Stegostoma tigrinum: one gene and its partners. The protein of the gene in region 1 interacts with the protein of each later gene in a biochemical or structural test. Links are inferred from orthologs where the notes say so. Each region holds a gene or a part of one and is shown on either strand. Other genes may lie near its edges. The genes, in order: serine/threonine-protein kinase OSR1-like, wnk4a and wnk1b.

Region 1 (7,646 bases):
ATATAAATAAATATGCAATTTCCCCCAAACTTAAAATACCACCAATGAATTTGGTGAAGACATTTCACCTATAAGATTCTCTACCTCCTAATATCAATAAGTCTGTGCAGGTAACCAGTCTCAAAATGTCTGCCAATTAACCACCTCAGTATTAAGAGTTTGAAAGGAAGGCACTTCCCTTGACTTTACCTTCATGTGCAAGATATGCAACTTTCCAAACTTCCTTGATAGATTGAAATGAAACGAAAAGTGCACCTTCAATTACTTACAGTAGTCATTTTTTTAAAAAAGCCAACGTAAGAGATAAACACACAAACTGAAAATACGAGTAGCCACCATTGGGCTCTTCTGGGATTCATGCAATATGACTATAGCTGACCATCCAACTCAATAGCCCAATCTCACTTTCTCTGTACCCTTTAATCCCTTTCACCCTAAGAAGTGTACCAATCTCCTCAGAAACATTTGATGTTTTGACCTCAAGAGATAATGGGAACTGCAGATGCTGGAGAATCCAAGATAACAAAATGTGGAGCTGGATGAACACAGCAGGCCAAGCAGCATCTCAGGAGCAGATGTTTTGACCTCAACCACTTTGTGGCAAAGAATTCCACAGGCTGAATACTAACTGGGTGAAGTAATTTCTCATCTCAGTCATAAGGTCTACTTCAAATCCTCTGTGAACGTGACCTCTGGCTCTGGACTTCCTGCTCATCAGGAATCTCATCCCTGCATTCAGACTGCCTAGTCCGGTTAGAATTTTATAGCTTTCCAAGAGATCACTACTTATTCTTCTTAACTCCAGTGAATACAGTCCTAGCCAATCCAATTTCTCTTCATACATCAATCCTCCCATCCCAGCGATCAGTCTAGTCGGCCTTCACTGCACACCCAGCCCCGATAGCCAGGATATCCTTCCTTAGGAGAGGAGACCACATTTCTCCAGGTATGGTCTCACCAAGTCACTGTATAACAGCAGAAGCCATCACTGATTTTGACACGCTAACCAAATGACAGAAACCAGTAGTGGCAGAGCTCAAGATCACCAAACTCTTTCCTCACACACCCTCTTCTCACAACAATCAGATGAAATGGAAGCTTAAAGTGGAGAGAGATTAAAAAAAATCAGTAGAAAAAGCCCTCTGATCCACTTCAACATTCTAAAGTTATGAATAACTCAGTTGTATGGAAAAATCATGCTTCTACAATTCACTTTAATTCTAATAGCGTCTGTGTACAAAATGATCTTTACGAATACTAAGTTTGGTAGTGGGAGCATCATCTTAGAAGCTGCAAGTTTCACACACTATCCTGCCCCATTTTTATAAAAATGATAAAATGCATACAATAAGTATTATACATCCTGCATCTAGAGTTCACTTCTATTTTTCCCCACCTTGGTAATGGCACTTCTCAAAATTAAAAGACACAAGCTATATACAAGTTGTTTACAATTGAGGTACTTATGTTACTGCTTAACAGCATGAAAATTATTGGAAGGCCAGAAACAAAGTATAATACTGCAATTTATCTCCTCAGTATTCAACCCACCCTCTTCCCCATGCCTTTCCTCAGCTCAATCCATACTACCAGCAGTAGCCCAACAAGAAGTGAACTCAGTCCAAACAATAATCCAAGCAGCAATGTGCCTGTTTCCAGAGATTGAGTCTCTTTCCAAGATGCAAAATTCAAGATCAACAAGGTACCAAACATGACCCCCACTTCCGTCAGGGCACCTGCATTCCTCCTGACACTTTCAAAACATCACTGGGGAAATCATGGACGAGTTACACGAGGATAACCATTGTTCACTGCCTCTAGTTAATAACTATTGCATAGTACAGTATTATAGTAATTTTAGCTGGCTTTGAATTTTAAAAACTTTCTTGTTGGAACTGAAAAGATAGATAGACTTCCCTCTATTGGTATTAATTTTGAAACAAAAATTAGCGACGAATTTAACACTGCATTTCGAACATTAAAAAATGGGGCTACGCTGGATCGTTCGCATGCTCCAGTGAAGCTAGCTTCATGAAAACATCACAAACAATATAAAAATCCACACATCTGTCAAACTAATTACTCCATGCTATCATACCAAGTATAGATCCTCTTTTTACAAAATGGCCTATTCATTAACTTGCAGGCATTTGTTTAAGGGTTAGTCAGCTGATTTAATAACGTGGCATTGAGTGTATCGTTAAAGACGATTTATAGATTTTTAAACACACTGCATTTCGTTCTTCCTATGGGCAAGGTTCCCGATTGATTCGTGGCAGGTCTATTTTATTGAGTATGAACAGAGAATTCAGTATAAAAACTATAACATAGAAAAGTCGGCCTATTCCTTTGGACATAGCCCCCACCATACTGTACTAGTCTATTTGATAGACGAATAAATTATTAAACAAAAAAAACTAGATGCAGTAGGCCTCTCCCTCAAGTGCAGTCAGCTGTTTCTTCATTTAGTCTTTTTCAAAAACAAAAATTGAAGTGCAGCAAAAGAAAACGCTAAAAAAATACAAACTGAAACAAAAAAACTGCAAATATACAACAGCTTCAAGGCTTTTATTATTGCTGCAGGATGACCAGAGGCCTATTCCGAGTGGCTGCAACTACACCCATTGCATGCACATCCTGTCTGCTAAAGTATATCCTTTTCAACCTTGCGAAAAACAAAAATGAACAAAGAAAGCTGCGTTTCCAACAACTTACCAATCACCTCTTTGAGTTCATAATCCTCCCTGATGATGGACCAGGGCAAGGAGCTGGGATCCTCGGACATTGCGAACGAAGCTGCAGCCTCCGCGCTTCCTACTTCACTCTATTTTAGGTTGTTCTATTATGCTGGGTCTTTATTTCGCTTACTGAAACAAAGTTATACTTCTCCTAACTGAAGAGAAAACTACTGGCCTACACTGCAGAATCAAATCACTCTCCTCTCCTACCTTCTCGACTACTCTCGGTCTTTCGCACAGACACAAAATACTTCCAATCCGCAAACTTTGCCACCAGCTGGAGTTACCATGCCTCCCAACCGCCACCCTTCCCAGCTCTCATTCGACATCCTCGATACCCGCCCCTCCCGTTGCCTAGAATCTATTGGCCAAGTACGCTGTCCATCAATGGTGACGGTAACGGCGCGACGCACTGCCGTCCCCAGCGGTGATGGGAGGGGATCCAAGACTGGTAAAGGCGGGGGGTTGACTCTGAGACTCCAGCCGTTCGCCTTGTGCGCGTGACGGCGTCAGCACGTCGAGACGTAAGTGAATAATATGATTGACGTTACCCCCCCCTTTTTCTGTTACGTTGGGCCCCATCGGTTGGCCAGAGGGTCGCACATTGCAGCAATCGGCAATGTCAAAGGAGACAGTAGGAATTGCAGATGCTGGAGAATTTAAGATAACAAGGTGTAGAGCTGGATGAACACAGCAGGCCAAGCTGACGTTTCGGGCCTAGACCCTTTAAGGGTCAGCTTTCCTGCTCGTCGGCTGCTGCTTGGCCTGCTGTGTTCATCCAGCTCGACACCGTGTTATCTCAGCAATGTTGATGCTGGTCTGTCAGCATCTGTAAGTAGAACAGGTCGGTGCACTTCCCTTGGTTCTCGTTACTCGATTCTGTTTACTAACCTTAACTCGCACCCCCCTTCACATATACAAGTCTCTGTCTTTCTATAATTCGCTGTTTTGTGTTTATAAGAGTTTTCAGTTTAAATTCCACATTTCCATTTCTGGCACTTCCGACTTTTTATTATAGCAGTGGGTTAATTTGATTTATGCCAAGACCTTTTGCTCTTGTACAGTCGAAACTCTAAACTAATAATCTTCGAATATAATTTTAAAATATACTGATCAGTTACTACTTGTACTTTTAAAAATATTTAGCCTGACCAGTATTCCAGCAACATTGCCCAGAGGAGATGTAATCTTTCTGAATAAATAGGTAAGACAGCATTAATTCAAAAATAGTTTGTATTTATGTTACCTTTTACACACCTGGTCATGAAGAAGCTGCTTTCCCTAGGCTCCAACACATCCAAAGGAACTCTCATCAGTGTAATCCTGTTTGGTCTCTGATCTTCTCCACAACCCACTTCAAACTCTCATTCAAAATTCTTACTCTGGAATTTTTTGAGGTGTTTGCTGCAAAGAACAAGGTCTACATAGACTTCCACAGGGCTTTTTGTGAAGTCCAACAGGAACAGTTCGTTAGCAAAAATCAGTGTGCCTTATCAATATGGATTGGTAATTAGTTGGAAGGCTGGAGACAAAAAGTAAAGGTGGCTATTTGATTTCTTTGGTTGAAAGAAATGACAAGTATCATTTCACATGAGTTTATCCTACAGGCCTGAACATGTTAACAATTTTATCAATGTTTTGAATTAATGTATTGTAAATCCAAATTTACAGATGGCTCAGTAGATTGTATGTGTAAAAGTGGAATTTACAACGAGATGCTGACCACATGAGTGGGTTGACCTATTGTAGATGCAATGAAGTTAAGGGAAACACGTGATACATGCTTCAGATCTATCAAAAAATAATCAAGTTGTGTTTTTAATGATAAAAGACTAGACAGTGTGGAGAAGCAGTGTGATTTAAATGATTCACATTTAAATCACACTGCTTCTCCACATCACAAACAAGTGAAAAAACAAAATACTGTGGAAGCTGGAATTTTTAAATAAAAACAGTTTTCAGTATAAACAAAGCTGACCTTTACTTCAAGTGAGCAACAGTACAAGGAGGAGAAAGAGACTTCGGTTGTACAAAACCTTGACCTGCTGCCCATCTAGAGTGCAACATTTAGTTCTTAGTGTTGTACTTAAGGAAGGTGTATAGTCTGTACTCACAAGAAAAAGTTACATGTGGGTAAGTTACATAAATCTAACCAGCACGGTCCTGACTAAAATCTTAGTGTTCACCTTTGGTAACTTGAATCTATCCAAAGTTCTACTGCCTGAATCTTAACTTGCTCCGGGTCCAGTTGGTCTGTTACTCTACTGATTTACATTGGTGTCCAAGCAGATATACATCAAATTCAAATTTCTTAATCATATTCAAATCCAAATCCGTCTGTACCCTGGATAATAAAGTGTGAAGCTGGATGAACACAGCAGGCCAAGCAGCACCTCAGGACCACAAAAGCTGACGTTTAGGCCCAAAACGTCAGCTTTTGTGCTCCTGAGGTGCTGCTTATCCTGTTGTGTTCATCCAGCTTCACACTTTATTATCTTGGATTCTCCAGCATCTGCAGTTCCCATTCCCTCTGTGCCCTGATCCCTTTGTGTCCTTGCAATTTTTCTGGCCACAGTCTCTTCCTCAAATTTTGGCTTCATTTTACATTCACTGATTTTCCCATTGGCAGCTATTTAATCAGCTGTAGGTGCTAATCTCTGGAATTCTCCTCCTAAATCTCTGTACTTTTCACACTGTCTCCTTTGTTAAAACATTGCTCAGTACCTACATCTGGCCAAGATTCTAGTCAACCCCCTCTTGAATCTCCTTATTTGGTTCAATTACAGATCTTGCTCAATACCCTGTACAATATAAGCATTAATTTCCTGTAATTAGTAAAATTTTACTTCTGCCACAAGCTATTCCTGAATAGTGTCACAGACTGCATTTGGCTGTTTGTAAAACCTCTGTATCATATTTTATCATGACATGAGCTTCTATCCATTCATCTGCTTCATCCCGACTGCCAACTTTTACCGTCAATACACCATGTGGCTCTCATTCTGCTTCTGCCTCAGCTAACCTGCTGATAACCTCCGCGATGTTATAATCCCAGCTAATGTCAAAACTGGACAAGTCAGATCCTGGAGAGAAATCTAGGTATACACCACTTTTTTTTTTCATTTACCATGGAAGTCAATCACTCAACAAGTTCACGAGAGGTTACCAATGTATTTTTAACAAAAGAAATAAAAGCTTATTGCTCAGAAGAAGAACCTCATCCCATCCCCTTGACAGTTTGTCCTCCCTGGACTGACCTATCTCCTCTCTAAATCCCCACCTACACTCACCTTTACTGGCTCCATCCCCGCATCTTTGAGCTGTCTGTCTCCTCTCCACCAATCTTCTCTATCCATCCTCTATCCGCCTCCTCCCCTCTCCCTATCTATTTCAGAACCCCCTTCCCCTCCCCATTTTTGAAGAAGGGTTTAGGCCCGAAACATCAGCCTTCCTGCTCCTCTGATGCTGCTTGGCCTGCTGTGTTCATCCAGCTGTACACTTGTTATCTACAGTATTGCAGGTATCGTCTTGCTAAGGCCCTGCAAAACTGCACTAAGGTATCCCTACTTCTGAACTCCAAACCTTTGCTGTGAAGGTCAATGTACTATTTGCCTTTCTAATTACTTGCTGTACCTGTCAGTCTGTTTTGATTAACTAGAGTACCAGAATACCTAGACCCCTTTGTACATCTCCACTTCCCAAAGATTGAAATAATTTCTTTCCTTTCTGTTTTTCCACTGAAGTGTGTTAAGTTCCCATTTAGCAATGTTGTATTGAATCTGTCCACTCAGTTGACCTATCCAAATAACCTCAGTTAACATGCCCAAAAGTCTCCTCTCAGCATATAGTCCTGCCCTTTGAGGGTATGGGGGGGCATGTGGAGAGGGGGATGTGGGAGGGCAGGGCTGGGGATGGAGGAGGTTGTGAGTGGAGGAGGGGTGGATGGGGTTGGGAAGATAGTGTTTGGGGTGGGGTGGAGCGTGGAGTTGTGGGGTGAGGGAGATTGGGTCAGATGAGGAGGGAGGGAGGGGTGGGTAGGAGCTGGGGAGGCGGGTAGTGTTGAGGAAGCAGGAGGGCAGCAGAAAATTTGGACAAGCTAGAAGAGTGGGCAAAGTAGAAGCAGTTGGAATACATTGTGGGAAAATGTGAGGTTATCCACTTTGGTAGGAAGAATAGAAGCAAATACTATTTTCTAAATGGGGTAAGGCTTTGGAAATTTGAAACGCAAAGGCACTTGGGATCTGTCGTTCAAGATTCTCTTAATATTTATATGCAGGCTCATTTGGCAGTGAGGATGGCAAATGTAATGTTGGCATTCATTTCAAGACGGCGAGAGTACAAGAGCAGTGATGTACGACTGAAGCTTTATAAGGCTGTGGTCAGGTTGTGAGCCCTGTATCTAAGAAAGCATGAGCTGTTGATGGAGGGGGTCCAGAGGAGTTTTACAGGAATTATCCCAGGGTGAAGATGGCAGGTTTCAGGCGAGAGGAGAAAGCTATATAAAGAACCTAAGGGGCAACTGTTTCGTGCGGAGGGCGATACATGTGTGGAACGAGCTGCCAGAGGAAGTGGTGGAGGTTGATAAAATTATAACATTTAAGAGGCATCTGGATACCTATATGAATAGGAGGGGTTTAGAGGAATATGGGTCAAATGCTGGCAAATGGGACTGGTTTAATTTAGAATATCAGGTCAACAAAGGACGAGTTGAACCAAAGGATGTGTTTCTGTGCTGTATAACTCTAGAAAAGGTTTGTCACATGAGGAGCGGTTGGATTTTAGAAGGATGTGAGGGGATCTGGCTAAACCTTACAGAATACTGAGAGACTTCGATAGTGGACGTGGACAAACCCGAGTAGGAAAGGCTAGGAAACGAGGGCACAACTTCTGATTGAAGGGATGACAATT
Region 2 (7,738 bases), on another chromosome or scaffold:
TAAGGGAGATATATGTGGAAAGTTCTTTACGCAGAAGGTGGTGGGTGCCTGGAACACATTGCCAGCGGAGGTGGTAGAGGTGGGCACACAAATGGGCAGGGAGCAGAGGGATACAGATCCTTAGAAAATAGGAGACAGGTTTAGTTAGAGGATCTGGATCAGCGCAGGCTTGGAGGGCCAAAGAGCCTGGTCCTGTGCTGCAATTTTCTTTGTTCTTTGTTCTTTAGGACAAATACAAAGTATACCACAAGCAGATCCACACACCACAAGAATAAAAGCTTATGCCAATGGTGGCAATTGACAAAACAGAGTGAACTGGGGAAATATCTTTCTTAACCAATGTTCCACCCATGTCAACTAATAACAGAATGCCCTAATCCTCAAGTGTGTAATGTACCAGATTACACAGCTAAGCCAGCAGACACACTGTACAATAAATGCCCCTCCAACTGACAAGTAAGCTTAATTTATAATACTTGTACCAACAAGTAAGTCAGTGTTAAGCTTAGACTAAGCCTATCTTGTCTTTACACTCATTGATTCAGTCCGAGGGTACATTTATTATGCAATTTTTAGAGATACTGCACAAATTCCCTGGTTTGTCAGGATCTAACTTCAGTGTTATATCAATGTAAGTTTAGAAATGCTGATGCAAGATGGATGCAATGTCCCTTGAAACTACGAGCACCTTTCAATCCCTTCAGCAGCTACCTTGATGAATTGTGTGTATGAAAGCGGCTGATGTCTCTAAATTTTATATTTTAATTGCTGAGAGAGGAGCAATGTTACAGGTACTGTATTGTCACATCAGTTTTTTTTGACAAACTCATGAATAACTGCATTCCTGACTTCATGATATACTTTTAAAATCTGTCCTAGGACAAAGGCCTAGGCTGAGATAGCAGAGCAGAGCATAAAAATAAGTTGCTGCAACCAACCACAGAGAAAATTAACATTAGACATCCTCCTGCAAGACAGTCAGGCATGAGATATTGGGTCTGGATCAGTTGAGGTCATTTACCTTGGAGTCAGGTGGTTTGTGGGTTCAAGCCCATATAATTGGAATTTAAAAAGCTGATTCTTCAACACAACGTGGAGGGTACAAAACAGAAACTGCTGTAAAGCTCAGCAGCTGCGGAGTTTCTCCAGCATTTTCTGATTTTGTTCCTGATTTACAGCATCTGCAGCCTTTTATCATAAAATCCCTACAGTTTGGAAACAGGCTGTTCAGCCCAACAAATCCACACTGACACTCAGAGCATCCCATCCAGACCCATCCCCCTATAACCCACACATCCCTGAACACTATGGGCAATTTAGCATGGCCGATCCACCTAGCCTGCACATCTTTGAACTGTGGGAGGAAACCAGAGCACCCGGAGGAAACCCACGTAGACACCGGGAGAATGTGCAAACTCCATGCAGACAGTTATCCGAGTGTGGAATCAAACCCGGGTCGCTGGTGCTGTGAAGCTGCAGTGCTAACCACTGAGCCACTGTGCCACCCCAAAAGCCTATTGCACCTGATATTCCCATGCAGTCTCCCATCCAAGTACTAATCACGCCACAGCTTCCAAAATCAGGCATTTTCAGACTAGTGTGACCGTAGGCTTTGAATGAGACTTGAAACCTCTGCAGTAAATGGATAACGCCCCTGAAAATCTGGCCAATATTTACACTTCGAATCACAGAAAAAGCCAACATTGCTGCTGCTTGGGGCTTGCTGTGAGGAACTGGCTGCAGCGTTCCCTACGTTGTTGCGGTGACTATGCTTTGACAAAAAAAAACACTTTACAAGTTGTGGAAGTTTCTTGAACAGTATTTAAGCTTTCCTGAGTGACACAATATCCCTGGGTCTTACAGCCTGGGATGTGACGGGCCCGGCGGACTCTGCATCGTTTTACCTGTAACTCGCACCAGGCGACCTCCACCGTGGTCTCGGTATCCAGCCCCTTGTAGACCGTCTTGAAGGAACCTCTTCCCAGCTCGATGTTGAACTTGAGGAACCTGCCGTCGGGGGAGGTGTCGACCGCTTTCATCTCCACCTCGTTCTCCTCCGGTTCCATCTTACTCTCCTCGGGCAGCTCGGAAACCGAGTCCTTGTGAGGAAAGCGGCGGCTGCCATCCTCCGTGTCCGAGCTGTTCGCGACCACCGCCGCCGCAGCAGCAGCAGCAGCAGCTTGGAGCGGCGAGGGCGCCAGGCGAGCCGGCGGGGCGCCGGCAGTGGGTCCGCCCGCCTTTAGCGGCCCGTTCTCAGCGGGCGGCGGGGGCTGGCTATCCGGGACTGGCACCAGGGTTCGGGAAGGGCGACGGACAAGCAGACCGTCAGCTCCCAGCTCGACGTCGACGGAGAGTTTCCTCTGGTACCGGGACGGGATCCTCCTGCCGTCTCTGGCAGGCATTCTCCGCCGCCGGCTCTGCGCTTTACTGAGGTGGGAGGAACGATCCAAATCCAGATCCAGGGTCGAGGTAATGAGCCCGAATCTAGCCAGGTCCACCTCCGCCTGGGACATCGTCCTGGACATGCTTCAACCACCTCCAACAAACTTCGCTCGAACCCCAAGGGAAAGCCCTTGAGGAAAGACTCGCTGACACGGTCTCAAGAAAAGCACAACATTCAACCACAAACATCATCGTGTTTCATGTTGCACCAGCCGCTCCTCGGAAAACATTTGCCTCCTCACTACTTTTATTCTTTCGTTTGCCTGCCCCTTTCAGTCTGTTAGACACTCCCCCCCCATCAGCAATAGAAAGTAACTTAGAGAGGGAAATGAAAAGGGGCTCTACTTTGAATTGACAAGTGCTTAGAGACAGCAGTAATTCCGCTAACGCCTGATATTGCTCTCAGACCGTCCCCGCACCGCCCATTGGCTCAGGGCAGACTGTCGCTAATTTGGATGGGGGCGTGTTGAAACCGGGGTGGGGGTAATGTTCAGTGTTTATTTACTTGGTTCTCCAAATTGCAGGGGGGAAACGAAAGGTAATTTTACTTTCTTTCTCTCTCTCTCTCTCTCTCTGAACCATCCCTTTAAATTCCTACTGTTTTCACACGTGCTGAAAGATCAGTACACAAAGTGCGGAGGGAGTGAAAAGCGTCCTTTAAAGCTGGGCGCGCTCAGAATTTTTTTTCAAAAGGCACTCGGCCAGAAAGAGGCACTGTGTGAAGCAGCAGGATCTGAATGGACAAAGTTCTCCTTTATCGGGCGCAACATTCACTCAGTTCCAGTCACGTCCTCCAGCCGGGCCAGAGGCTCCAGCATGAGAAGCAGAGCTGCTATCAACTCACAACACAGATCGGGGGGGTGCGGTTTGAAGTGTACATATTCTTCCCTTGAGGTTGGGGGGGTTGCTGTTGGATGGCGGATGACGGTATGACGTTACTGGAAGTAAGATCAGGCTGCTTATCACTGATAGAGCATGATCCAGATGGTCTTTATTGTGAGCTCCATGGAGCAGGCTTTGATATTTCAACCAACCTGTTATGACACCGAGATAGTAGGAACTGCAGATGCTGGAGAATCTGAGATAACAAGGTGTAGAGCTGGATGAACACAGCAGGCCAAGGAGCATCCGAGGAGCAGGAAGGCTGAAGTTTTGGGCCTTCACCCTTCTTCAGAGCAGGAGAGAACTCTAACCTGGGCCCCTGGCTCAGAGGTACACACACCACCACTGCACCATTAGTGACTTAAACTGAATAAGATAGTGGATAGTGAGTTTCGAGAAGATTTGTAACTCAGGATGAGTTTCTGGATGTGAGTTTGCTCGCTGAGCTGGAAACTAACCTTCCAGCTCAGCGAGCAAACTCACATCCAGAACATAGTGGATCTCAATAAACACTGTTTTCCAGTCTAAGTGGGAATGTTTATAGCAGAGCAAGTTTTATGACTAACCTACAAAGTGATGTGATTACAGACCTCTGGAGCAGAAAAAAACAGACCTCCTGGCCCAGAGGTTGGGACACTGTGCACCGCAAGAGCCCCTTGTTGATAGCGGAAGGTGATTAGAATCTAATGGAGCAGGGTGTTGGGGGCTCTTCTGTTGTATGGACTCCTATTACCCAACAATTGAGAGGGTTGGTGCCTACATCTATTGGACACAAAAAGTATAAGCAGACACTAATGATTAAAGGATTTGTGCAGAGATAATAGGAACTGCAGATGCTGGAGAATCTGAGATAACAAGGTGTAAAGCTGGATGAATACAGCAGGCCAAGCAACATCAGAGGAGCAAGAAAGCTGATGTTTCGGGCCTAGACTGAAGGATCTAGGCCCGAAACATCAACTTTGCTGCTCCTCCGATGCTGCTTGGCCTGCTGTGTTCATCCAGCTCTACACCTTGTTATCTCAATGGATTTGTGCAAATAGTTTTAAACTGGGAGAATGTACTTGTTCTTCCATGTCATATAGTGTATAAGTCATGAAGATAGTATTGGAGACCATTGGTTTTCCAAATGCATGGAAAAGTGGATAAAATTGGGAAGAACAATGAAACTTAAAACTGGCAATCAAACTAAAATTCTGACTTATTCAAACACTGTAAACTAATGTTCTGAGGAAGGGTCCCCGAACTGAAGTGTTAATTCTGTTTGTTTCCTTCAGTGATGCTGCCAGATCTACTGGGCTTTTCCAGCAACTTTGTCTTTGTTCCTGATTTACAGCATTCACAGTTCTTTCAGTTTTTACTATAAACTAGTCACCCTGATTTCAACTTTACAGAATTATAACTTATGACTGAACCAGCTTTAAGATAAAAGATTCATGCGTGAATATCACCTCAACAAATCGTCAGGATCAACCAATAAGCTCAAAAGTTAATGATTAACTTTGAAATGCAGTCACTATCGTTACTGCCAGGCAGTAATTAGTTAATCATAATTAATTTCAGACGGTAAGTGGAGTTGATAGTTTGTCTGGTTTTGGTAGTGGCATTTGAGAGAAGAATATTGTTCAGGACAGCAGCAAATCTGCTTCACTTCAGATACACTTGAGAATACAATGGCAGTCAACATTAAAGAGAACCCAAAAATCATCTTCTGGCATGTGAATAGTAATAACTAATAAAATGAAGAGGTCTCCTCTACATTGGGGGAATGAAGCGTAGACTGAGTGGCTGCTTCACAGAACACCTATGTTCTGTCTGCAAAAACACCCTCAGCTTCCAGTTGCCTGTCACTTCAACATACTATCTAGTTCCCTGGCCAACATCTCTGTCTCAGGCTTATTGCAGCGCTCCAGCGAAGCTCAGTGCAAGCCGGAAGAACAGCACTTCACTTTCTGTTTGGGAACGCTATGGCCTTCTGAACTCAATATTGAGTTCAACAACTTTAATGTATGAGGCACGTTCTCCCATGTCCTTACTCCTACTGCTACACACCAGCCTTGTTATCACATGGTCTGCTATGACATGCAACCATTGTTCGACGCTAATTGTTCTCATTAGTAATTATTCTTTCTCCTAGACCGATCATCTCTACTCCTTTCTCTGTCCAACTGTTCTTCTCTCTTAGAGACGAAGAAACTGCAGATTACAGGCAGGAGGCTGGAAGAACACAGCAGGTCAGGCAGCATCTGGAAAAAAGGAACAGTCAATGTTTCAGATATTATCCTTCTTCAAGACTCCAGTCCTGAAGAAGGGTGATATCCAAAACATTAACTGCTCCTTTCCTCCCATTGCTGTCTGGCTTGCTGTGTTCTTCCAGCCTGCTGTTTGTCCACCTATTGTTCTCTGTCTTTGGATTCTATCTCCACCATCATAAAATAAACAGGAAGGTCACTGGACCTAAAAGGCTAACTCTGATTTCTGTCCACAGATGCTGCCAGACCTGCTGAACTTTTCCAGCAAAGTCTATTTTTGAGTAAGAAATTATGTTGGTCTGTTAGGGATAAAGATTGCGGAGTTTGCTTAGAGTGACAAGGAAAATTGAGGTTATTGATGAATATTTTCTATTGCTATTTACAAAGGATTCTTAAAGAATACCAATAGACAATGAATGGCCAGGATGCACTGGAAAGACTGACTATGTTGGTAGAAAATATGTCACTCAGTTTGGATGGCTGACATCCCAGATTGCTAAAGAAAGCAAGAATGGTGATAGTGAACAGGCTCGTCATAATTTTCCAAACTTACCCAGATGTGCCAGAAGATTAGTGTCGCAAATGTGATAGCCTTTGTGTAAAGTGTGTAAGAACATTCCCAGTGACGAGTCAGTTTAAATCACTTGTGAGTATGATTTTAAAAACAATAATCTAAAGGAAAATTGAATTGGCACTTGAAGAAGTTAAAGTTAACCAAAGACAGTCAGCACTGATTTATGAATAGCATATTGTACTTGACTAATCTAATTGACTTTTTTGATGAAGTAGAGAAATATTTGTTAGTGAGATTGCTGTGGACGTTATAGAGTCGTAGGTTCATAGAGATGTACAGCTTGAAACAGAACCTTTCGTCCAAACTGTCCATACTGACTAGATATCCTAAATTAATCTAGTCCCATTTGCCAGCATTTGTTCCATGTCCCTCTCAACCCTTCCTATCCATGTACCCATCCAGATGCCTTTTAAATGTTGTAATTGTACCAGCTTCCACCACTTCCTCTGGCAGCTCATTCCATACACGCACCACCCTCTGCAGGAAAAAGTTAGCTTTAGGTCCCTTTTAAGTCCTACCCCTCTCACCTTCAACCTATGCTCTCTAGTTTAGGCCTCCCCTACCCTGGGGAAAAGACCTTGGCTGTTCACCCTATCCATGCAGCTCATGATTTTATAAACTGCTATAAGGTCACCCCTCAGCCTTCAACATTCCAGGGAAAATAGCCCCAGCCAATTCAGTCTCTCCCTATAGCTCAAGCCCTCCAATCCCGGCAACATCCTTGTAAATCTTTTCTGAATCCTTTCAAGTTTCACAACATCTTTCCTATAGGTGGGAGACCAGAATTGAATGCAACGTTACAAAAATGTTGTCCACATGGATTTTAAGAAAGCTTTTTACAAAGTACCCCATAAAACTTCATTGGTTAAGAGAACCAGTATCAGTTTGGTTAAGCATTTGGCTTAAGGACAGCATAAATAAGTCACGGCAAACTGATGTTTATCATCCTAGAGGATGGTAGATAATAATGTTTATCGAGAGTCAGTGTTAAGACCACCCTGTTTTTGATCTATAAAGTCACAATAGTCCCAGCGGACCACTCCCTTATTAGATTGAAGAGAGACATGACTGATGGTGGTTTACCCGGGGAATAACTATGCCTCAGGTAAGTGGAGAGGTTGAGAAGCTAAGACCTGCATGGTGATGTCAGCACAGGATATGGACCCATGCTGTTAGTGTCACTCTATATATAAACCATCCGTTTAGCCAACTGACACCCTTTTTGACTTGAATATTAGAATATAAAGAAAAATTTCAAAATTTTTCAACTGTATTAAACTTGGAGGAATGGAAAAGTGAAGATTATACGTCAATTCTGAGGAAGGGTCAGACCGGACCCGAAATGTTAACTCTGATTTTTCTTCACAGATGCTGCCAGCCCTGTCAAGCTTTTCCAGTAACTTCTGTTTTTGATTAGCAGCATCCGCAGTTCCTTCGCTTTCTAAATTGAGATTTGACCACAACTGGATTATTGCATTAATTTCCGATCACTTAGTTTTTAGGAAGTTTATTAAGGTTTTGAGAGCATGTAGATTTTCAAGAATAGTTCCAGGGATGAGGGAATCCAGAGAAAATCAGAAAATCTGGGTTT
Region 3 (8,017 bases), on another chromosome or scaffold:
AATGGAAACTTTCTGGTACAAGATGGTAGTAAAACATCACGTCACTACTTGCATTTGAAAATGAGATCTCTCTCCACTGTTCTGGAAAATACTTTTCCTTCAATGTCACTGAAACAAGTTATCTGGCCTTTACGTTGTCACATTTCTTTAACTACACAAAAAGGAACCTCTTTGCCACTTCTCACCATATACATGTATAAAATAAAATAACCTAAAAATATAAATATATACACAACAGAATCTATGGCATGGATTGTCAAATCAACGGTGCATAATTGAAACTAACATAATCAAGCGTCCAATGAAGGGCTAGGTACATGCATTTTGAACTCTACTCAAATTCAGTTAAAAGAACACAAACTTAAGCTACACTAATAGGAAAGTTCTCAGCCAAACATCCAGTCATCCTATACTGATTTCAAACAGGGTGACAGAAGGGTCTAGGCCCGAAGCGTCGGCTTTTGTGCTCCTGGGATGCTGCTTGGCCTGCTGTGTTCATCCAGCCTCACATTTTATTGTCTTGGAATCGCCAGCATCTGCAGTTCCCATTATCTCTGACAGAAATACACCAGTCTTAACACCTCATACCATGCCAACCCGCTGTGAGAGAATGAGGATGAGGAGGAGAGAGAGGGAGGTAAAACACAATTTTCAATTCAAAATATAGTCCAGCAAGCTCTATTCAAAATCATTCTTGTGGAAATATCAAATTTATTCAGCATTCATGGTCAAAGGTATCAATGTTCAAGACCATATCAAACCTGAACAAGAAGTTGTCAAAATGAAGAAAAATCACAGCAGGTTTTAATGGGACACAAGTTGTTAGTACCCTGGGAATGAATCCCTTAATAATACTAAAAAAAAGCTTTCAGATTCTAAATTATGCTTCTAATTGGCAAGTGTCAATGAATTATATTGCCACCTTTAATTTTAAGGTCTGCACACCACTTCTTTCAGAATCACAGCAATGATACAGGGCAGAAGGTGGCCATTCAGCTCATATCAAACTATCCTTTGGTAGTTAAATTTCTTTGAAAATACAAATACTAATGCAACAAGGATTTAAATGAAGTGGCTAGTCTTCCCAATGAAGACAAACGTGCCGACAACAAAAATACACAACTTACCTGCAATTCACACCAAGCTACTTCCACTGTAGTTTCTGTGTCTAGACCTTTATAGACGGTTTTGAAAGAACCTCTCCCAATTTCTATATCGAACTTCAAAAACCTCCCATCGGGGGAGGTTGCCACAGCCTTAGTCTCTATTTCTTCATTATCTTCTTGCGCCTTCCTCTCCTGATTTTTTGCCTCTTCCGCTTCTTTGCTCTCTGAACTATCATCATCGTTAGCTTTCAACTCGGTTTCCTCTTTAATTGGAACTGATTTTTGTTTTTTTCTGTCTTTGCTGCTACTGGTTGTAGTCCCTGCATGGTTGCAAACATCGGCATCGAGCGAACGAACAGCAGTTCTCGGTCGTTCATCGCCAATTCCAGCAACTGTGCTTCCATCCTTCGTATTGCCATCAACGCACTTTTCACATTTTTCTCCGGCAAAAACAGGAATTGCCGCAGTGACCGAGTCAACTGTCGTAGCTTGTACAGGAGGTTGCGCTTCGTTATTAATAGTAATACTGCTTATTAATGAAGCTGCATTATCCGATTCGGGTGGCGAAACGATAATACATGTCTTACTGGGCAGATGGTCCAACGCTGTAACGTTGGAATCACAGATCACACTTCTCCTGATAAAACGTTGGTGCTCTGCTTTGCTGTCCTTATCCATAGTATGTCGCCGCCTCCTAAGAGCCTTAAACTCTTCTTTTTTTCTCAAACTTACTCCAAAACGCTCCCCTATTGTCGTATCTGAACTCGAATTGGTACCATTTTTAGGGGGGCGCAACAAAGACCCAACATTGTCTGCGTTTTCCGACATTTCCACAAAAACTCAATTCCCAAAAGACTTCCCCAGAAGAATTCAGTGGTTTCTCTTCAAACAAGATTTCAACGCGAAGCACACTGCCGGTCAAATGGTTGAAATGCAATAAAAAGTACCAATTACGCGTAAAGACAAATGCAACCTGATTTTCTTTGAGAAGTCAAAATAATTCCCTGTTATGTTTGCGCAAACAGTCGGGTCCCTGGAACTGAAGCGTTCCGATATAAAAAATGAGATACGCAATATTGTCCAACTCAATCAGTTGCAACGCAGCGACATAAACATGGATCATCTGTTGTGATCCATCCATCCTTAATTAAAAATTTCGAACAATTTTCATCCAGTCTTCATTTCTCAAAAGGGCGATAAAGAAATTTAAAATGAAAATGAAAATCCAACCGATATAAACAAAGCCAAAACAGTTCCTTATTCCCGGATTAACTCCAAAAATAATATACTTTAAAACGGCCAGAACAAAAAAAGGGACAATCAACGCAACAATCCCTTTCAGCGATGCTGCTAGTTTCTGTTCCCTCACTAGAACAATTCCACGGTTATGGAAATGCGTCGGTTTATTTTAAGCACAGATAATATACAACGCCACGACTGCCCCGTCGATGCCATAAGGTTCTGCTCTTTCAAGCTTTCAAAATGGATGCGATGCCCATGGTTTTAAAGAAAAGTCACCAAAATTTAAATAGCCGACAGACGTGCAGGCTGCCAGATGGACTAGGCCGGGATGCTGCAACAATAGAAAACCCCAGGGTAAGGTCGATCTGCCGGGGGAGAGGCTCACTGCAGAGCTGTCCACATACGTAACATCCCGGCTTCTTCTCTTCCTCTTGTACTGGAATCGACTTTTCAAATAAAAAATACGCCCAGCCGGTTTCCTTAACGAACAAGTATCGTAGACCCAAGCCCGGGCCCCCCACACAGAACGGGGGAGGGGGGCAAAGAAGGTAAAACAGGCGAATCTCTCAGCTCGAAAATAGACACGTTCTTCCTCCCAACTGTAAATGGCGGATACACTGCCTCTAACTCACTTACTGGCACTTTCCGAGAAGCTGAGTGCTCGAGCTCAAGGCAACCCATTCACATGCGCAACACCACCGCACAGCCAATTGGGAAACGTAGTTTTTCCATTACAATTAGCAGTGTTGGCACATAGTTCGATTTGAAACACGCAAAAACGGAACTACAGTTCCCATCATGCTACGAGAACATTTCAGTTGGTTGGCGTTTATTTATTCCGCCCACTTTGCGTCTCTGTGGGAGCGTTGAGCTGAGCACGTGATATGGACAATAGGAGGACGGAAAAGGATGAGCTGTGGGTACCAGGGGAGGGGGCGAGGCTGGTTTTGGAAGCTTTGGTTATTGAAGGCGGAAAAGATTATATTTATTAAAATAGGCAATGATCTTCTCCAACTGCACATTCCTTCTGAAATGCACAGGTTTTAAATTCAATAAATCGTACATCGTTGCATGGTGGCGTGATAGATTCTCTCCTGGATGGTGATTCTCCAAATGAAATATAAGTGAAATAAAACCTTCGTAAGTAATTCCAGAACAAACATACATCTGAATTAACATACAGCGCACTGAGAGGGTTCAGAATCTAGAATGAGAAGCTGATTAAAAGCATTCTGGGTGCGTAAAATTCATCAAAATTAATTTCTGTTTCAATTTCTGTTTATTCAGGACCTGCTCGGCCTCGTTAAAACTACCGCACTGGATATTGCACCATCATAGTGAACAAAGTAAAATACATAGTTAAATCCTTCTGAAAACCTAATTTGCTCGTTCATTTTCGTTCGACTACGCTGCTTTCTTCGGTTAGCTTTAACTTTCAGCAGCAGAAATACACGACGATGGACGAGCTCTTGAATGCAAGCACGATGTTTGCAATGTAATTGTACGTGAAGACATTGCAGTAAGATCAAGAGAATTTTTTTTAAAAATCGACTAATTTGCTTTAATTGTAAACCTTCTAGTTAAGAGGATATATGAATGGCCTTTTACCAGGCCAATATTTTATAAGGAGAAATTGAAAATATGAGCAGGAGTAGGCTATTTGGCTTGAAGCCTACTCTACCATTCAATATGATCATGGCTGATCATCCAACTCAGCACCTTGTTCCTGCTTTCTCCCCATACCATTTTACCCCATTAACCCTAAGAACTATATTTTACTCCTTGAAAACGTTGCATGTGTTGGCCACAGCCACTTCTTGTGACATAGAATTCCACAGGTTCACTGCTGTCTGGGTGAGGAACTTTCTCCTCTTCTCAGTCCTAAATGACCAACCGTGTATATTTAGGCAGTGACCACTTGTTCTGGACTCTCCAGACATTGGAAATATTATTTTCTTTTATTCACTCGTGGGATGTGGGTCTTGCTGGCTGGCCAGCATTTATTGCCTATCTGAGTTGCCTTTGAGAATGTGATGGTGAGCTGCCACCTTGAACCACAGCTGTCCATGTGATATGGGATGGCCCATAATAGCCTTAGGGAGGGGCTACAAGGATTTTGAACCAGCAACATCAAAGGAACGACAATACATTTCCGATTCAGTGGTGAGTGGCTTGGAGGGGAAACTTGTAGGTGATGGTGTTGCTTTGTATCTGGTGCTCTTATCCTTCCAAATGAAGGTGGTTGTGGGTTTGGAAGATGCTGTCTAAGGATCTTTGATCAATTTCTGGAGTGCATCTTGTAGACAGTACCCACTGCTGCTACTGAATTTAAGTTGTGGAGGGAGCAGATGCTAGTGGATGTGATGCCAATCAAATGGGCTGCTTTGGCCTGAATGGTGTCAAGCTTTTTGAGTGTTGTTGGAACTGCACCTATCAGGCAAGTGGGGAATATTCCATCACACTCATTTCTTAAACCTTGTAGATGGTAGATAGGATTTAGGGAGTCATGAGCTGAATTATTCCCCGCACCTATAGCCCCTAACCTCTTGTGTTTATGTAATGAGCCCGGTTCTGTTTCCAATCAGTGGTTACCCCAAGGATGTTGATAAGGAGAAAGCGATTTGGTGATGGTAACACCATTGAATGTCAAGGGGTAGTTGTTTGATTATCTCTTATTGGAGAAAATCACTGTCTGGCATTTTCAAGGTGCAAATGTTACTTGCCATTTGTCAGCCCAAGTCTGGATATTGTCCAGATCTTGTTACATTTGTGCACGGACTGCTCCTGTATCTGAGGAGTCATAAATGGTGTTGAATATTGTGCAGTCATCTGTAAACATTCACGTTTCTGATCTCATGATGCAGGGAATGACATTGATGAAGCAGCCGAAGATGGTTGGGCCTAGTCTGAGAAATTCATGCAGAAATGGCCTGCAGATGGGATGACTGATCTCCAGCATCAACAGTCATCTTCCTGTGTGCGAAATGTGACTCCACCCAGCGGAGAGTTTGCCCTGTGATACCTATTGATCCCAGTTTTGCTAGGGCTCCTTAATGCCACAGTCATTCAAATGCAGCATACTTCTCAAGGGCTGTCACTCTCACCTCCACTCTGAAATTCAGTTCTTTGTCCGTATTTGAATGAAGGCTGTAATGAGGTCAGGATCTGAGTGGCCCTGGCAAAACCTAAACCAGGCATCACTGAGCAAGTTATTGCTGAACAGTGCTGCTTGATAGTTGGTGACACCTTCCATCTCCTTAATGATGATTGCGAATAGACAGACAGATTGGTAGTTGGCCAGTTTTTTTGTATAAGGCGTTATTGGACAATTTTCCACATTGTTAACTAGATGCCAGTGCAACTGTACTGAACCACTTGGCAAGGGGAGCAGTAAGTTGAGGAGCACAGGTCTTCAGTACTGTTGCTGGAATGTTGTCAGAGCCTTTGACTTCGCAATTTCCAATGCATACGACTGTTCCTTGATGTCGCAAGGAGTGAATTGACTTGACTGAAGGCTGATATCTACGATGTTGGGGGACAATTGAAAGAGGCTGAGACGGTTTATCCGCTCAGTACTTCTGGCTGAAGATTGCAGCGAATGCTTCAGCTTATCCTTTGCACTGTTTACTATGTCAAATCCTATTTGAATTTCATAGATTTAAATGAGATCTCCCTCCCCATCATTCTTCTAATCTCCAGTGAATATTGTCCTAACTGATCCATTCTCTGTTCATACTATCAGTCCTGCCATGCCAGGAATCAGTCTGGTGAACATTTGTTGTGCTGCCTCCGTAGCCAGAACATTCTTCCTCAGTTAAGAAAACCAAAACTGCACACCTACTTCTCAAGGTATAGTTTGCCAGTGTTCCATACAATTGCAGCAAGACATTCACGCTCCTGTTTTTAAACCCGCTTGTTGCAAAGGCTGACATACAAGTTGCCTTCTTTGACACCTGCTGCAGCTGCATGCTTACTTTAAGCAACTGGTGTACAGGTACACACAGGTTTTGATGCACCTTCCCCCTTTTTAAATATATTACCGTTTAGATAATAAACTGTCCTTTTTTTTGGTACCAAAGTGCAACCTCACATTTATCCACACAGTACTTCATCTACTTGCTCAATTTACCCAAATCGCGCTGATGCATTTCAGCATCCTTCTCATAGTTCAACACCTCTTACGGTTAGTTGCCTCATCTAAATATTTAATGTATATTGTAAATAGGTGGAGCCCAAGCACTGATCCCTGTGGTACCCCACTCGTCACCACCTGCAACTCAGAAAAGGTTTATTCCTATTCTTTGTTTCCTGTCTGTCAGCCAGTTCTCTATCCATGTCAATGCATTAGCCTCAATCCCACATGCTTTAATTTTACATGCTAATCTCTTATGGGGAACCTTATCGAAAACATTTTGAAAATCCAAGTAAACCACATCTACTGAATCCAACTTTATCAACTATACTAGTTACATCTTCAAAAAATATGAGTAGATATGATTTATCAAGCATGATTTCCCTTTCATAAATCTCAGCTAACTTTGTCTGATTCTGATACAATTTTCCAAGTTTTTTACCATTAAATTTTTTCCAGCATTATCTCTACTATTGATGTCAGGCTCACTGATCTATAATTCGCTACTTTATTCTTAGAAACCGTTCCAGACTAGAGCCAATAGAATCTTGAAAGGTGACCACCAATGCATCCATTATTTCTCGGACCACTTCCTTGAGTATTGTAGGATGTAGGTTATCAGCCACTGGGGATTTATTGGCCTTTAATCCTATCAATTTCCCCAAAACCATTTCCCTACCAAACCTAAGACAACAAAGTGTGGAGCTGGATGAACACAGCAGGCCTAGCAGCATTTTAGGAGCACAAAAGCTGACATTTCGGGCCTAGACCCTTCTTGAAGAGTCTAGGCCCGAAATGTCAGCTTTTTGTACTCCTAAGATGCTGCTTGGCTTGCTGTGTTCATCCAGCTCCACACTTTGTTATCTCGGATTCTCCAGCATCTGAAGTTCCCATTATCCCTACCAAAACTGATTTCTTTCAATTCATTCATCTCTCAATACCTTGTGATCCCCAACATTTTTGGAACACAATTTGTGTCATCCTTTGAAGCAAAACCAAAATATGTACTTAGATAACAAGGTGTAGAGTTGGATGAACACAGCAGGCCAAAACATCAGTTTTTCTGCTCCTCTGATGCTGTTTGGCCTGCTGTGTTCATGCAGGTACACCTTGTTATCTGATTCTCCAGCATCAGCAGTTCCTACTATCCCAAACTGTGTACTTACTTGGTCTGCCATGTCTTTATTCCCCATTATAACTTTCCCTGTTTCTAACTCTAAGGGACCTACATCTGTCTTCATGAAATACTTTCTCTTCACATATCAATAAAAGGTTTTACAAATAATTTGTATATTCCTTGCAAACTTACTCTTATACTCTATATTCCCCATCTTAATTAATCCCTTTGTCCTTCTTTGCTGAAATCTAACCTGCTCCTGATACTCAGGTCTGTTACTTTTTTGGCCAGTCTGTATGCCCCATCCTTAGATCTATCACTATTTTTAATTTTCCGTGTTAATCATGATTGGGCACCTTTTCCATTTTATTTTTGTGCAAAACTGGAATAAACAATTGTTGCAGTCCCTCCATTAGCTAT

Evidence for each region.
Region 2: the proteins of serine/threonine-protein kinase OSR1-like (region 1) and wnk4a are reported together in a solved structure, tested with the Homo sapiens proteins (2 studies listed by BioGRID and IntAct, with this or other methods). The link is inferred for Stegostoma tigrinum from reciprocal best matches to the Homo sapiens genes OXSR1 and WNK4.
Region 3: of the proteins of serine/threonine-protein kinase OSR1-like (region 1) and wnk1b, one has a biochemical effect on the other in vitro, tested with the Homo sapiens proteins (2 studies listed by BioGRID and IntAct, with this or other methods). The link is inferred for Stegostoma tigrinum from reciprocal best matches to the Homo sapiens genes OXSR1 and WNK1.

The regions. Positions count from the first base shown.
Region 1 is NC_081358.1:99,195,817-99,203,462, forward strand, and holds the start of serine/threonine-protein kinase OSR1-like, read right to left. Parts: upstream 3,051-7,646; 5' UTR 2,786-3,050; coding exon 2,716-2,785; intron 1-2,715. UniProt on the Homo sapiens protein: Effector serine/threonine-protein kinase component of the WNK-SPAK/OSR1 kinase cascade, which is involved in various processes, such as ion transport, response to hypertonic stress and blood pressure.
Region 2 is NC_081384.1:15,197,935-15,205,672, reverse strand, and holds the start of wnk4a (serine/threonine-protein kinase WNK4), read right to left. Parts: upstream 3,027-7,738; 5' UTR 2,526-3,026; coding exon 1,905-2,525; intron 1-1,904. UniProt on the Homo sapiens protein: Serine/threonine-protein kinase component of the WNK4-SPAK/OSR1 kinase cascade, which acts as a key regulator of ion transport in the distal nephron and blood pressure.
Region 3 is NC_081371.1:20,510,028-20,518,044, reverse strand, and holds the start of wnk1b (serine/threonine-protein kinase WNK1), read right to left. Parts: upstream 3,009-8,017; 5' UTR 1,935-3,008; coding exon 1,128-1,934; intron 1-1,127. UniProt on the Homo sapiens protein: Serine/threonine-protein kinase component of the WNK1-SPAK/OSR1 kinase cascade, which acts as a key regulator of blood pressure and regulatory volume increase by promoting ion influx.